Schizosaccharomyces pombe: one gene and its partners. Changing the gene in region 2 together with the main gene of any one other region gives a genetic interaction. Each region holds a gene or a part of one and is shown on either strand. Other genes may lie near its edges.

Region 1 (4,343 bases), on a different chromosome or scaffold from region 2:
GTAAACGTTAGTAATCGAAAACGAATATAATTCTTTAATTCATTGAGAATACAGCAGGGAAACCAGCAAGTGGAGAATACAGTGACACAGACGGTGCCTTGACGTACGTTAGTGGTGTATGTATATCGAAAACTAAGCTTGGTTTTGGATAATTGCTTTCTTCATGATTAATATGATTAATTTAATATCTTAGTAAAAATTCCTAATCAGTAGTTTAAGTCGTTTATTGGTTAAAAATAGAATGGTAGAATAAGACAAGTGATACACTAGGAGCTGATATTTAGTATACGCATAGACCCAAATTAATTCAAATGCTAGTATTTTTTGACTGTATAATAGTTTCTTCAAAAAGAGCTCTAGCAGCACTTCACAAAGGCCTAAAAACAGTAAAAAGATTGAAACTAGTGTATACAAAAATTAGGTGAGAAAATAAGATTGCATTCAGGAATTGATCGAGTCGAATTTTGTATTACCTTCAAGTATTTATCTTCCAGCAATGCGAAATCAAACTCATGTCAATGATTAAATAGAATAAAGAATCAATGCTGAATTTCTTTGAAATTGTTTTACGATATACGGTATAAAGAAGGATAAGTGTTTAAGATTCGAAATAGTGCTTTTTTAAAGAGATAATGATGTATTCCTTAAAATGATGCTGCACGGGATATTTCTTTGTTTAGCAATAAAGTAATTTGTGCCATTTACTGTTTCAATTTTTTCCAATATTTTTTTTTTTTTAAATTTGTTGTAATAATTTTTTAATTAAATTTTTTTTAAACAAGATATTCTAGCATATGCTGGCTAATTTTATTTTATTTACATATTTTTTAAATATTTAATAAAGTTTAACTATTGCTTCAATTTTTTCAAATACCTATTGAAAATGATTTTGAGCTGAATCACTGAGTGAATAAATCGATCCTTACAATAGCAGGCAATTGACAAGTTATAAGAAATTTAGTTGGAATCATTACATAGTTGCATTTTTAGAGTAACTGAATTTGAGTCATACACACATAAACTGAGTTCTTAAATGACTACGATAACCTCAGAATTACACACACGGTCATAGGGTAGGACATAGCTGGAATCTAAAAAATAAAAAAAAAAATACTGTATGTAATGCACAATATTATAGAATTTGTAGGAACTATAGAAAACAGATAATCCATAGATGCTTTGAGTAGGGATAAATCAACAAATAAAAGCATTTAAAACCAATTCGTATTTTCTTGATGCTTTGTTTACATACTTACTATGTACTGAGTATCTTATATCTACGCATCAGATAATCTACAGTAGTGCAAAGAGAATGCGTTATAAAATCTGAAGTTTCAAAGTTCATACTTGGTATATTTTGGGATGTCTACACTATAAAAGAGAATCTAAACCTCGATTAAAAAGATGGTCGTTCATAAGAAAATAAATGGGTCGGTAAAAGTTTCAATTTGTAATCATTGATTGCAAGCCCTGCTCATTTCCTAGGAAAACCATGACATAGTGATTTGCAAATATAAGTTTGCAAAATAGTATAATGAAACGCAGCGTAGTTGTAATCACAAAGACGCGGTTTTTGTGACATTTTGAACACACTACTCTAGTACGAACCATACTGACAAAGAAGTGTGCGGTTTGGTTTCACAATCCTTTATCTACTCATCTGTAATTCCTAACTCAGGCGCTTATTAAATTATTTAAAATCTGTGGAAATAATTGCGCCTTAAATGCATTAAAGCTCATTTGCACTTATAATATACTGTATAAATTAAATTGAATTCGACGTGAAATAAGCAGAAAAAAGGAGGAAAAATGACTAAACTCTGGGTAAATTTTTTCAGCCAGAAATTATTAAGGCTTTTAATCCCATCAATAATAGTGGTATTTGCTTTCGCTGCTCTATTTGCAATATACAGTCCCATTCAACTTGGAGGCATCAATTTCTATAAAAGAACCAACTTATTTACCGTTGAAGAATTGGGCGAAAAAGAATTGGAACTATCTAAGACCGTTACTATCGATATATACAGAAAAGCAATGTGCATGGATGATTTGGAGCAATCGCGCAAATGTACAACGTTCGGTTTGGATCCACCGATTTCTGCTCACTTATTTTACACATATAACCGTGATACGGGTATGAATAGAGTTGCGAGACAATGGAATCGAAGAATTCCAAGGGTATTTCATACCATTAAGGGATCTAATTTCATTGAATTGTCTCAATTCACGGCATTTGAAGTCGAACTTCGCGTAAGCCACCCAAATTGGGCTTTTGTTAGTTGGTCACATGATGATTTAAACGAATTAGTTGACAAATCATATCATAATCTTCATAATGCCTGGTCTCAGTTATCGCGTGAAGCTAAAGATCAGTGGGGATTTTTATTGGGATTGTATGAGTATGGCGGTGTTTGGATGTCTCGTTCTTTACAGCTTAAAAAAAATATTGATAAATTTGTTTATGCGGCGGAGTTATCCGTAAAACAATTTACAGAAAATATCACATCTTCGACTGTTGAGGAGTTCCAACCGATTTTTATGGCCCCAAAGTCCCTACAGTATGACTTTATGATTGCTACTCCTAAGCATCCGTTTGTTCTCTCTCTCATTAACGAACTTTGCAAGTCGGAAGTTTTATTAAAAATCCTTTCTAAAAGGCCCTATCATGGTCTTGATGCAGCTGAAGCGTTGTTTGCAGAAAACCGAGAGTCTATTACAATTCGTGAGCAAGAATTCTTTGTCAACACTTATATCGATGACGGGAAAGTTTTTGTGAAGAATAACCCTCACATCATTTTTATCCCAACAGAAGCCTTTGCTTCAACTTGGGACTTCCTTCCTAGTGAAGAATCTTCTGAAATGTGTTTCGCCGACTCTCCCCTGTTTGACCCTGACTATTGCATTAGCCACAGTTCAAAACCGGATGGGAACGAACTTGCCATATACTGGTCTAATTCATTCGACTTGATAACTGCTTGATGATATTATGATGTTTCATCTTTTTATCTTTTCACAAATTTAATTTCATTCAGCAAACAATAAACCTGACTTGATCCTTTAACTTTTTTTTTCTCTCTAAGGTATCACCTACAGTTATGTGCGTTTCTTCCTAATCATAGTTTTTATTTAATACTATTGCTAAGCATCCGTTTTATAATCAAATATTTTCTGTCGTGGAACTGTCCTGCAGCTTGTTTTTCTAATGTGCCAACTATGTCTTTACATTTAATGTTCTATGGTTCTATTGTCTTTCTTTCTTTTTTTTAGTTTTTTATTTTATCAGATCTAGGAAAAGCTTGTTTCTTAGTTTTTTAAATTCGATCCTTCATTTATTGTTCAACTGTAAAGTTTGTGATACTTTTATAGCTACTAACAGGTAATCAATCTTGTTCTCTCCTCTCTAGATTTCATTTTATTACAAATTAATGTTATTTAGGCAACAGCTTTTTCCTAATCGATTATTAAGCTTTAGAAAATACTATTTTTGAATTGAACCCCTTGCCAATAATAAACCAACTATTGAGCTCGGTTCTTATTCTAATTGTATTTGTAATAGTGAACTAAGTATGCTAAAGGATTCCTTGTTTTTTAAGTCTTCCAGAAATCCAGAAAGAAGCTCAATCAAAACAGCAAATATTATTGGTAAGGAACAATTTCCTGATCATAATAATGGTAAATGAATTTGTCTCTTCAATTTTATTTTATGTCAGCAATACTACACTACGCTATAATACACTACGTTGAGTATCACTATATGTCACATGTTCTAATTATATATCGTACCATGTATGATACGATATGGAGATTGATCTTAATGATAATCTATTAAGATCAATATTATCTGAATACTATAAATAGAGCTACTGCTGAACCTCGTTCCTCAGTTCAGTTATGAGCTATATTAGTGATAGGTAACATTATAACCCAGTTAATACAATACCTATACTCAGTTGCTACTTATACAACCTGTGTATCGTAATATAATAGATCACAAGGAAAACTCACCGCAGTTCTACGTATCCTTAAATCAGATACCAAACTGCGTAGCTTACAATAACTGAACTCTTGTGATCTACAATTAACTCCTTTTAGGAAAAAGGAATTATTGAATAAATATATATCATAAATATATATATTTCTCTCCTTCTGGGTTCAAAGGAGAAGGAACTTTGGAAGGACTGTTATCCCTTTTGAAATCTCCCAAAGGGAAACATATACAATGTCCTACGCAAATTATCGTTATATGAAAGCAAGAGCAAAACGATGGAGACCAGAGAATTTGGATGGAATTCAAACATCAGACGAACATTTAATAAACCTTTTTGCAAAAATATTATCGAAGC
Region 2 (3,858 bases):
CTATGTGCTGCTTCAGGAACTCCTTTAATTTTTTCTAAAGATTGCATGGAAACCTGCCCTGCTATTTTCTTATTAGGATCTGAAAACTTGGTGATCACTTGGGAGGAAGGGTTTTCACTGTCTGCTCTAACCGTCAAAGCATTACTACCAATAGTGTCTTCTTCGTAATGTCGGTTCTTCCGTTTTCCAACAGTTCCTCCAAGAACAGAACCATATTCTAAATGTTCTTTGTATGTTCTTTTGAGATTTTGAGCTACAGTATCGTCAAAACTGGTAACTGACCCAAACTCGGCTCCAAAAAGAGTTTTTGATGTTCTAAGACTATTTGTAGTCAAAGAAAGTACATCTGTATCATCCGATATGTTTTTTGCTTCTGTCATAAATCTGTTAAATTTTTGGTAGAGGATTTGTAGGTAGATGGCAGTTGGACTGACTTATTTGAAGCATCATAATCCACGAACATTAGCGAACGAGAAATATTAAGTACTAATATTTGAGAATAAAGTAGCTTACAAATGAATTGTCAAAATAAAAAAAGGGATGGTTATCAAGTAATAAAAGTTTGTAATATATATACATTTATTAAACGGTCTAGTTACGGATTATTAATAACATGATGTTCTAAAAGCGATAGTAGCAATAAATATATGGAGAGGAGGAAATGATGGAAAGTAATTAATTAACCCTGAATTTAAAAAGTAAATCATGCACAGGTAGTCTTGTCTAAAAAGAAAAAAAAGAAGCGGTAGAGAGGATTTGTGTATAAGTCAGGTAGTACTCAGAAAATACAAGTCGAAGAAAAGATAGATCAAAACGGATCATTGTAAAGCATTCAAAATTGAATTAATGGCCCATTGGACGTTATCTCTCACAGACATTTTACTAGAAGGGCTTAACTGTATACGCTTATCAAGCAATTTCCCTGTCACATCGCCATTGACAAACAAATGGGAATGACCATGTACATAGCCAGGCCAAACATAATTTTCGAAATAATGTGGGGGGTCTTGCCAAAATCCTGGAACAATTTGGAGTTAGCCTTAACTGAAAGGTACAACGATTAAACACAGGTGTTATGTTTTATCTGGATAGTTGAATTCTTACCTTCCAACGTTATATAACCAGTACGGGCTTCTCTACGACGCTTAAGCGTATCAAAATCGGTCACCAGCATCAGTCGAATATCAAATGCGTTTATAAGGTCTTCATTAACGTACATCATAAATCCGTCTACGAAAACGAGATGCTGTTCCAAAGTTGGAATGGCCGGTGCCTTGAATTCTTTAATTATATCAGCGTATTCTATTAGGGCTTCAGGAGCAACATTTTTATTTTCCCTATTTCGAAGGTGAGTAGGTAACACGCCATGATCACGGATATAATGCAAATTTTCAAGGAAAGCGTCTAAATTCAACGACTCTTGGCAATCCCAATCGGCAATGCCGTTTTTGACTGGTATCTCAGCATCAGTCTACAAAACAAACGAGTTAGTATATCAATAGGTGCTTTGGCACTACATAAAAACACAGTGTTTGCTTCATCGATAAGATTCAACCATCGGTTTTTAAAACGAGGGTACGATTTATTCTATGACACTTGCAAAATTCGCACGACTAGGCAAATAGACGAAATAATCTAAACGAACCTTGTAAAAATCATCTTCATGAACGAGAGAAGATCCTTCAAAAATGGCATGTAAAAGCTGGCATAGAGTCTGTCAAAACAAGAAAGAGAAATTGGTTAGTACTTCATTTTTTTTTTATTTTGGAGTTTTTGATTTTATTTTATTCTTTCTTATTAATCAAAATTATCATACCGATTTTCCACTACAAGAGGCACCACTAATTTTTTCTTGTTAATAAAAATTCATTAAAACAATTGCCTGTAGAACTTACCTAACCCCAACAATGATAGTTTTCCGAGTCATTCTAATGATAATATGGAAAAATGAAGGTAAAAATTGAGACAAGAAGCCTGGACAGAAGCTGGATACTGGAATTCGGTCTGTTATATTTGCACAACACAATTAATTAATTACCAGCCAAAAGCTGTAAGACAGGTTAACCGAATTTTAAAAAGAATTTGGATTTAAACAAAGCGCCTAGTATCTTAAATCAAGCTCGATGATTATTTGTTATGGAAATAAACGAGAATTTTAAAAAGATATGTGGTAAAGAAGCCGAATCCACAAAATTTTATAACAACCAACAAAACTTTTAGATATACAAGAACAAGTAAAAGATCACTTATAACGATTTCGCAAGTATAAGAAAATGGAAAAAGAAAGGAGTATACAAATTCTTTACGGTATAAATGGAGGATTTGAAAGATAATTTAAATTCACCAAATATTAACGCTTTCGAATACGTATAAGAATTTTTATATGGCAAATATGCCCGGTAAAGATTAATGGTGTTTTGAGTTATTGATCGTTTAAAACAAGAGTGAAATAGGAGGAAGGCTGGAGTTGGTAGTATGAAGATATGGTTAGTAGTATAATCAGTCAATAATACAAGGCTTTGGATGATAGCAATATACTAATCCGCTCCCGTCATGTATCCTTTACGAAAAGATAGGGTAGATAATAAGAGTAAAAAATACAATTTTTGTTTAAAATATATATATTTTTTGATTAGATAAAAAAAAGTGGTTCACTTTTTTTATTTATTTAGCCAAAGTATGTAGGAAATTGGAATTCTTTAATTGTTTTGCGAAAATTATTTTATTAATTATTGCTTTTTCCTTTCAAATTTGTGATAAACTATGTCTGAATAATATTAGTTTGCTATTTTCATTTTTTAAGTCGTTTTAATGTCTTTTGCTTATTGTTTACATTACACTTACTTAGTTCTACGGTAGCAAAGTTTTTATCAACTCCATGAAATGCGAATATTTCGATGAATTTAAAAAATATATGTATATTGGTTGAGTTTCTTGAGGCCTTGTTAAACGATTTTTGTAGTACTACACTTAGTAAATATAAAATTTTTTAACACTAGGTGTTTGGCTTCAGTTTTCCAATTTGACTAGCTTCAATTGCTTTTCCAAAAAAAAAATAAAAAAATAAATAAAATATAATAAAGCTATAAATTGCATGTAAATTGGATGAAACAATAGAATTAGTAATAATAATAAATACTGAATTCAAACATTAAGGAAATTTAAGGACACTATTTTAAAAATGAAATCAATATTGATCGAATTTCAATGGATCTGTATTGAATGCCAATGTAATTAGGAAATTAAAAGACCTTTTGGTTTAATAAAAAAATAAAAAAAGCCGTACCGATCTCTACCTTTGTTCATTATATCAATCTAATATGAGACGTAAAACTACGGATTATGAATAGTAAGTTTTCAAAGAGATTATAAAATAATACTCTTTGCATAAATTCTTCTCATCCTTTCAATTAACAGCGAAACGACGAAACACTGACAATCAATTAAATAAAAAAAAATACTATATCAGTGAGGAACGTCAAGTGAAGCTCAAGATTCGAAGTTGGCAATGAACTTTTATCCTCATAGAATTTCAAATCTATCCACATGTCTGTAAACAATGCATCAATGTATGGATATTACCAATGTACTAAACTGATCGTGGACAAATAATCTCAGAAAAGTCAATTTTTAAACAATATTGTTTTTGTAAAGATACTACTTCTGTTGTTTAGTCCAAAAATCCACTTACTCTACTATGTGCTTTCCTTTTCTTATAACGCATTGTTACGAACTTCATTTATTTACTTTTCCTTACAAACCTTCCATTCGTAAACCAGCATGTGGAAAACCTAAGATATCCCAAATTTTTTGGAGCCTTTAATTGTGCAATTGTAAATAAAAAATCTACATAACAAA
Region 3 (4,551 bases), on a different chromosome or scaffold from region 2:
GCTTTCGTCCGGTTGAAAACATTTGTAAGAGGGGCATGAGTAGAGTTTCTTTTTATGATTACAGTGAGTAGAGCAGGTTAAGAATCTAGTACTAGATTACTCGGCGTAAGTTAAATCTGCTGCAAAGAACTATGCAAAAAAAAGGTTACTTTAATAAATTTTTCGCAAGAGATTCGAGATAACTTTTTCTTTTAATATCTGCTAATTAAGTTTGTGATGTCTCTTAAATTGCTCATGCTTCTAATATCCTATAGTTCAATAAGCCTTTTCTTGTTCGTGTGTCCAAAGTTGCTAAGACCTCCTTTTGAAAAGAGGCAAACAAGCATGTAAAGAACACCCAGATATCAAACCACCCACAATGGCGCAATGGAGAAATAGTTGTTTTATCATTACAGCAGTCAATTATGCATTTGTTTTCATTTTATAGACGAGACTTTCGCTTATTATTTACCTTTATACTACAGATCATCAACAATGTCAGCAAATAAAGTTAAACGACTTTATCAAGAGTTCCAAAGCTTACAGAAAAGATTACTAATAAAATTTAAAAGACATTTAACGACTGTATTAAATTAAAACACGCAGCATATTCATTGAATACACGCTTTAAAAATTGTGACATCAAACACAATGAACTTCATGGTTGGTAAAATAAACGAATGAATAAATGAAAGATCGATGTAATAAGAAGCACATCTCCTATAAGCATAGTTCAGAAAGCTTAAACAATCTGATAGATGGCAGAGTATTCAAAAAAAAGCGACAAAAACCATGAAACAAAATATCATAAAAAAGAGTTTCAGAGCAAGAAGAAATAAGAGTATTTGACAGTTTAAAGAACGAAAAAAAAGCATAAGAATTACCATTATATCTCACAAGATAATTTCCCATTTTGTGTAAATTTAAGGAGTTCAAGAAATATAAATCTCTCCGACTTCACTTAATCCACCAGAGGAACTGATAAGGGCATTGTTATTACCAACACCGGCTCCGAGTTCGGTAGCAGGAGCAAACCAACTGTAACGCTCAACAGATCCATGTCCATCTAAAAAGCCAAGAGCGCTGGTCATCAAAGTCTTAACTTCATCCAATGAAGGTAAATTGCTATCATCCCAGTTGGTGCAAGCAAATTCAGTAAGCCAAATAGGGAGACCGTAATTGGCGAGAGAGTTAATATAATCTTGCAAATTGCTAAAGTCAATACCATACCAATGGCAAGCAATGAAATCGATCTTACAATCAGAGCATGCGCTCATGAATTCAGAAAGCCAATCTTCACCTACGTTACTGATGGCAGGTGATCCCAAATAACCAATGGCACCAGATTCACGAAGAGGTGTTAAGTATTGAAGATAATAACTAGCTGCAGTAGCTGCATCTATAGGATTTCCAGCAGCGGACAAATCAGGCTCATTAAATCCAATGACGGTAGCACCACCAGTGAAAACAGAAGAAGCTGAAGAAAGGCTATTGGCATCATGTTGGTTGAGAACATATTCAAAAGAGGAACTCAGACCAGATGAATAACTACCCCAGTTGTAATACCAGTTGATGCCCTTATTGACAAAGTTATCAGAGTAACCAAGGTCAGTTCCAGGAATCCAGGCCAAACCGCGCTTGCCAGAAACTGAAGAACTAGTAGGAGATGCTGATGCAGAGCTTGAGGTAGCACTGGAAATAGTACTAGAAGCAGCAACAGAAGTGGCACTAGAGACAACAGAGGAAACGACAGCTGAAGAGGAGGCGGCAGCTGAAGAAACAGCAGGAGTACTAACTCCCTTGTTAGCAGCAGAAACACTGGCACTTGCAACTACAGAAGAAAGAGCAATAGATGATGAGGAAGTGGGGACGTAAGATGTAGCAGAGCCAGCTGATATCTCTGATGAAGAAGCAACTGAAGACGAGACAGGAGCCACATAGGATGAAGTTGACGTAGCAACTTCAGAGCTAGCAGGATAAGAACTAGTAACTTCAGTACTAGAAGCAGAATAAGAGCTAGCAACTTCAGTACTAGAAGCAGGATAAGAAGAGCTAGATTCGGAACTGGTAGCAGGATACGAAGTGAAAAATTCAGAACTAGAAGTGGCAGATGTCTCGGGAGTTGATACAGGGACAGAAGTATTGGACCATACGGGTGCAGTAACGTTGTCCATAGTATATAGAGGAGTACTAACAAAAGTGGCAGGGTAGCTAGTGGCAGAGGAACTAGCAGCAGGGGCACTGGTTGTTACAACCACAGATTCCGTAGAGGTAGTAGGTAAAGCCGTTGAAGCACCATCGTCGGACGACTCGGTAACAGAAGCTAAACCAGTGGAGTAAGAAGTATATGAGGAAGATGAGTTAGCACCAGGAACTGCGGTAACATAAACAGTCTCCAAGATAGTCTCATACACGGTTAAAACGCCATCATCATCACGACGGTGATGGCGATGGTTAGGAGCATAGGGCAAAGCTCCAACGGTCGATAAAAAAGCTAAAGCGACGGTCGCGAAAGTAGTACGCATTTTTTTAGAAAATACTAGATAAAACGCGTCTAATACTAAAAAAAGAAAGAAAAGATGAAATTTGGTATATAGTTGATATATAAAAGAGTGGAAAGGAGTGTTGCTAAAGAACGGACAACGACTCTTATAGACTAGCTTCTACTGTGGTGGTTGGTGAACGACAAGCCGCGTTCATTATCAAGCCACTCATATATATACCAGTTATGAAAATTTGATTATACATAAAAACTTTAAATATAATATTTATTAAATTTGCTGAGTAAATTCAATTTTTTAAAATCAAAGTCAGACTCATATTGAGGGAAAAATGAATCTGAGTCGGTTACCACTGAAACACCAGGTCCACCTAATTGAACATCGTAAATAGAATTTTTATGGGCTAATAGTGATTCTTTACATAACTTAAATTCCTCTTCTTTGCACTCAGGTGTTAATAAAGTAATCGTACAACCTCCACCACCGGCACCTGTAAGCTTCGTCCATCCAATTGACTTAGTGGCTTGTAAAACGCGATCAATGGAATAATGGGATACACCCAAGCATTCTAAGAGTTTTTGATTAAGAACAATAAACTCTCCTAACTTTTTAGCGGAGGAGTTTTTATCGCTCTCCGAAGTCAATGCGAGGACGGCAGACTTTGATATGCCATCGATTGCATCTATTATTGAGTCAATCACAGTTGGTAGTCTTTCCTTCAGTTCAAAAACTCCTTGTACAAGTTTTTTAGTACTTTTTGGTTGTTTGGTATCAGTGATCATAACAGATAAGGTATCTTTAGGCTTTAAGAATTCTTTCATGGCACTCTGATGAGCTGTAGCTTTACGAAAAGCGATAAGTCCTCCATTTGTTGCTACTGCATTATCAATACCACTTGGTGTTCCATGAATACAGCATTCACCTAGAAAAGACCAAGCCTCTATCAACGCAAGTGCTTTGTTGTTTTGAAGAGAATTTGAGCTAGGAGGTTCAATATTACCAAAAGCTAGTAGTAAACTTGTAGCGACAACAACTGATATAGTAGCACTACTACCTAATCCAGCACCCAAAGGTACTTGGGAGCTAATAGTTAAAGTACAACCCTGAGAAGGAGAAGACAAAGACGTGAACAAGTAAAGGGTACAAAGCATTGCTGAGTGAATAAGTCCGTTTTCTTCATTTTTTAATAGCTCTCCTAATCCTTGTAAAAGGTCCAGATTGGGAGATGATGCCGGGTGCTGAACGTTTTCCACTGTTACATGCTGCCAAGGTAGCGATTGAAGATTCCATCGGCGTTCGGTCCCTATATCACTCATCACAATTACTATTTCATTGTTATTAGTCGTCTGTAATTTACAGTAACTCCGTAACGATACAGCTGCAGCTAACGCAGTCTAGAAAGTTAGCATAAAAATTTAAATGATCTCCATATTTTCGCTTTAAAATGGCTTAAGATTAGAATCAAAAATAAGCATGGCTATAGCAGAATGACATTTGCGACGACTGTCAAAGTTAAAAGTGGTGTTCGCTTTGCAAATACTATGTTACAAAGAAATCATATATGCATAACAGAGCTGTATCCAGTACTAGCCTGTTAAAAACTCTCGCTAATGTAATCTGCTTTAAACCTTAGGTAAACTTACAGCTCCATATACAACGGCATGTTCCCCAAACAAAATCGTTTTTCCTGGCGACGAAACAATAAGCGATTTTGACATTTCAGAAATTTTTTTTACGTTCAACTTCAAAACACAGTTAAAATAAGGTGATGGTAAATAGGCGACGAAGGTTGGTTATCGACAGATATCTACGCAAACAGGACAAGGTGATGATGGTATTGGAAGTTGTAGCAAAAGATTGGTATTTTAATTAAAAAGTTACTTTATTTGATTTTGTTTTAAAAGTTCTTTTGTAATAAAAATCGCGATGTTATAGTTTTCATATGCGCTAAGGAAAATGACTTTTTAAACGAGGTATACAGCGCAAAACTCGTTAGACATTTACATAAAACCATAAAATACTACATTTATAGCTTATAGCAAGAAAGCAAGAGCAAGTACATATATGATGA
Region 4 (3,143 bases), 840 kb from region 2:
TAATAAAACATGCAAAAAATAAAAATAAATAAAAGGGATAGTTGGCTCTGTTTTATTTATGCTCGTATATCTCTTTTATTTTTTAAAAACAGAATATAATAGGTACAAGAGGTTGAGCATGTAAACGATGTCGTAAAGATGTTTTTGGGTAAAAAAAGGGTCATTAATAATAATTTTAATCATGATGAATTTCCTTGGAAATTAGACATTCATCTGCCACTGTTTGACATGTTGCTGTGTTGATAAAAATTCATTTAAGGACAATTGATACGTTTTAGAAATGAAAATGTTTATTGCACAAACAAAAATATAATGAAAATGTTTATTGCACAAACACAAAATAAATGCAAAAAAAAGAAAAAATCATTGAAAACTTAGAGAAAGCAGGTAACACATTTCATTTAATTATTAAATGTAATACTATTGCACGGATACTAAAAAATTTATCAACATATGCTATATTACTCAATTCCAACATATTAGAAGAACATGTTGATCTGCTTCTTATATATCTCTCTACTCAAAGAATGTGGAAGCTAAATAACTTAAAAAAAACACTGCAATATAAGGGAAGCAAAAAAAAATAGCCTTACAATACGATGAAATTTAAATACAAAAAATTCGCATTGAATAGTATTTTAATAACTACATCAAAGGAAAACAAAGATGAAGCCAAGTAATGGCAAATTATGCACTGAAAAGTATAAATGGACCCATTACGACCGAAATTTCATTTACTGTCTGCGACGGAAACGCTCTTGAGGGGCAGGAGCAAGCACACGGACGGGAATTTGATCGTAGCCAAGAGACTTAAGCATGTCCTTGGTGTCTTGGTCAACGTTAACACGATCGACCTCAAGCTCAGAAACTTCAGGAACGTATTGATCCTTGCGTTCACGCTCCTCTTCTTGAAGCTTGAAGGAGATACCACGAACGGGACCACGTTGAATACGTTTCATTAAGTGAGTCGTGTAACCGGCAATTTTATTACGAAGACGCTTAGAGGCGATGATAGCGACTTCGTCAACAATTCTCTTGTTGGTTTGGAAATCAAGAGTGAGACGAGGGTAATATTTTTCAATTACCACACGGGAAGCTCTCTTGGTAGTTTTGGTACGTACACGACCCTAGAGGAATGTTAGTTATGCACAAAAAAAATCAATTTCGTAGATAAACGTAAGGATTAGGATTGCAAAGAGAAGCATGAATGAAAGAAAAAAAATTTTATGTGTATTCAAATGGACCATGTGAAGAGAACCTACGTTTAAGTAAATGTTTATATTTGCCGCATAGAAAAAACGTCAATTTATGGCTTTAGTAAGCTACAAAACTAAAGAGTAAATTTTGTTCAAATAGACCGAGAGCTTCGACTTTGCAACTCCAACCATGCTTTATAACTACTTACCATTTTGAAGTTATTCGAGATGGAAGTGGTTGAATTCCTTTGGTTATTCTTTCAAGTTAGAAACCGACACTGTGACTGGTTTTTCATTAACTAGGGTAGGGTCCACATATATGTAACCGGGCGCCGCTTCTAAAGCGTATGCACATTCCAGTGTACATCTGCGACATAAAAGCTGTATTCGTTGTTCGTAACCTCCGTCGCTTCTGTTGTGATGGTTAGTGAATTAATGTGTGGAGAAAATTAAATTTTCGTTCCGAAAATCAGTAAACAAATAAAAAATTTCCACATGTATGATCAACCAACAACAAACCAGGTGCTTATGTGTTTATATAAGGAACGATAAGTTAAAACAACTTACCTAGTAATGTAATATTTGTTGCCTGTGGAGAAATGTGCTATATGATTTAATTTTTCGTCCACAACATGGCGTTTATCTAGTTGCCGTTGCGGAAGACGAGTAAGAGAGACATGTATGGTTAAAAAAAGTTGACCACACGGGCAAAAATATGAATAGGCTTTAAAAGAATCCTTTCCTTGATTACTCATGAAGTGAACGATCCTAAGAAGATGTCGTTTTATAATAGTCTTGCAGTTTAAGTTGTGTGTAGCAGATCAGTATTACTATAACGATATCGCAGTTTTATCAATTAGAACGAAAATTACGAATTACAAGGTATTGAAATTTTTGTGCGCAAAGTTTAAATTGTTCAAATTTTCGGTACAGTAAGATAAAAAAAAAAATTTTGTATCTCAATACTAGACTGCTTGTTATGTGCGAACCTCCGATGTCTTCTAAAGAGAGAGCTACAGGCTTAGTTGAGAGGCGTGAGTTGGCGAAATTTGCTGCTTATTAATTCAAGCTGAAATGAGTGAATGAATAAAGGGTTTGAGTGTTAAAATTGCCGACCTCTAACTAGCAGCAATACGAAATATAGAATAGGTAATAATATCCAATATTTCAATTAAATAAGCATTTGCATTCTTTATATAGCCTACCCATTGATGAAGTCGCACATTACGCTTGTCGGCGGATATCGTTATATAATTCCATTTGTAGTATATATGTTTATAGCTAATTTCATTGAAATTAAAGAAGGGGGATTCTATGGAAATGATTTTTTAAAAATTAAATTTTTAACCAGAGTTCTTTGATTCGTGCCAAATCCACCCGTGCATCTGTTGTAACTGCGCATTGAAATTATTCGTACCTTGCACTTTTCCTAGTATGAACGAATATATAGTCTCATATGGGAGTCAATCAAGTACAAATGGATTTAGGAAAAGGTGTTATTGCTTAATCGGCTTCTGCTCGAAACCGGTACATCTATTTACTTAGCCCACAAATGATTTAAAAAAAAAACACAGTAAGAACTCATGCCAAAAGCATTTTTTTTGAAACTAAATGTATTACTAATGTATGTATCTCAAATTTTGTAAATGTGCTCCTTTCAGTTAAATTCTCAAAACATCCTTAAAAAGATTTTTGGTATATTCTCTTATATAGTTCCCCGCATATGCTCGAAGCAAAGTTCGCAGTGTCTTCTTTTTAGAGTTTTCTATTTACAATTAACAGACAGGCTAGATGAGAACACCTTTTTTCAAAACAATCTTCAAGTGCTGCAACAAGCGATAAGTCCGAAAACATATTAAAGGTTGCTGTTTTGTTCCTTCATTATTTTGCACAGCAGCATGTGAGCGAAAATTGGCTTTTTCTTGCATTACATCAGGAAAATTCAAT

The links.
Region 1: mutations in nrk1 (region 2) and pvg2 together harm fitness more than expected from each alone (negative genetic interaction), as found in Schizosaccharomyces pombe (one large-scale study listed by BioGRID).
Region 3: mutations in nrk1 (region 2) and asl1 together harm fitness more than expected from each alone (negative genetic interaction), as found in Schizosaccharomyces pombe (one large-scale study listed by BioGRID).
Region 4: mutations in nrk1 (region 2) and rps1701 together harm fitness more than expected from each alone (negative genetic interaction), as found in Schizosaccharomyces pombe (one large-scale study listed by BioGRID).

Annotation. Positions count from the first base shown.
Region 1 is NC_003424.3:4,018,273-4,022,615, forward strand, and holds pvg2 (Golgi 4,6-pyruvylated galactose (PvGal) residue biosynthesis protein Pvg2), read left to right. Parts: upstream 1-1,602; 5' UTR 1,603-1,809; coding exon 1,810-2,979; 3' UTR 2,980-3,782; downstream 3,783-4,343. Other genes in the region: Tf2-6 (retrotransposable element/transposon Tf2-type), read left to right, coding at 4,220-4,343. UniProt on the Schizosaccharomyces pombe protein: Involved in cell wall biogenesis. Has a role in the addition of Gal-beta1,3 moeities to galactomannans and their subsequent pyruvylation. Has a role in meiosis.
Region 2 is NC_003423.3:1,442,634-1,446,491, reverse strand, and holds nrk1 (nicotinamide riboside kinase), read right to left. Parts: upstream 1,928-3,858; coding exon 1,896-1,927; exon of another isoform or gene 1,842-1,895; coding exon 1,817-1,841; exon of another isoform or gene 1,715-1,816; coding exon 1,646-1,714; exon of another isoform or gene 1,594-1,645; intron 1,472-1,593; coding exon 1,105-1,471; intron 1,019-1,104; coding exon 819-1,018; 3' UTR 561-818; downstream 1-560. Other genes in the region: Prp19 complex WD repeat protein Prp5, read right to left, coding at 1-380. UniProt on the Schizosaccharomyces pombe protein: Catalyzes the phosphorylation of nicotinamide riboside (NR) and nicotinic acid riboside (NaR) to form nicotinamide mononucleotide (NMN) and nicotinic acid mononucleotide (NaMN).
Region 3 is NC_003424.3:191,385-195,935, forward strand, and holds asl1 (O-glucosyl hydrolase Asl1), read right to left. Parts: upstream 2,667-4,551; 5' UTR 2,505-2,666; coding exon 912-2,504; 3' UTR 544-911; downstream 1-543. Other genes in the region: mevalonate kinase Erg12, read right to left, coding at 2,735-3,874, 4,124-4,198.
Region 4 is NC_003423.3:602,970-606,112, forward strand, and holds rps1701 (40S ribosomal protein eS17), read right to left. Parts: upstream 1,437-3,143; 5' UTR 1,409-1,436; coding exon 1,406-1,408; intron 1,402-1,405; exon of another isoform or gene 1,160-1,401; intron 1,128-1,159; coding exon 735-1,127; 3' UTR 588-734; downstream 1-587. Other genes in the region: protein new14, read left to right, coding at 345-587; protein new20, read right to left, coding at 1,449-1,608, 1,764-1,951. UniProt on the Schizosaccharomyces pombe protein: Component of the ribosome, a large ribonucleoprotein complex responsible for the synthesis of proteins in the cell.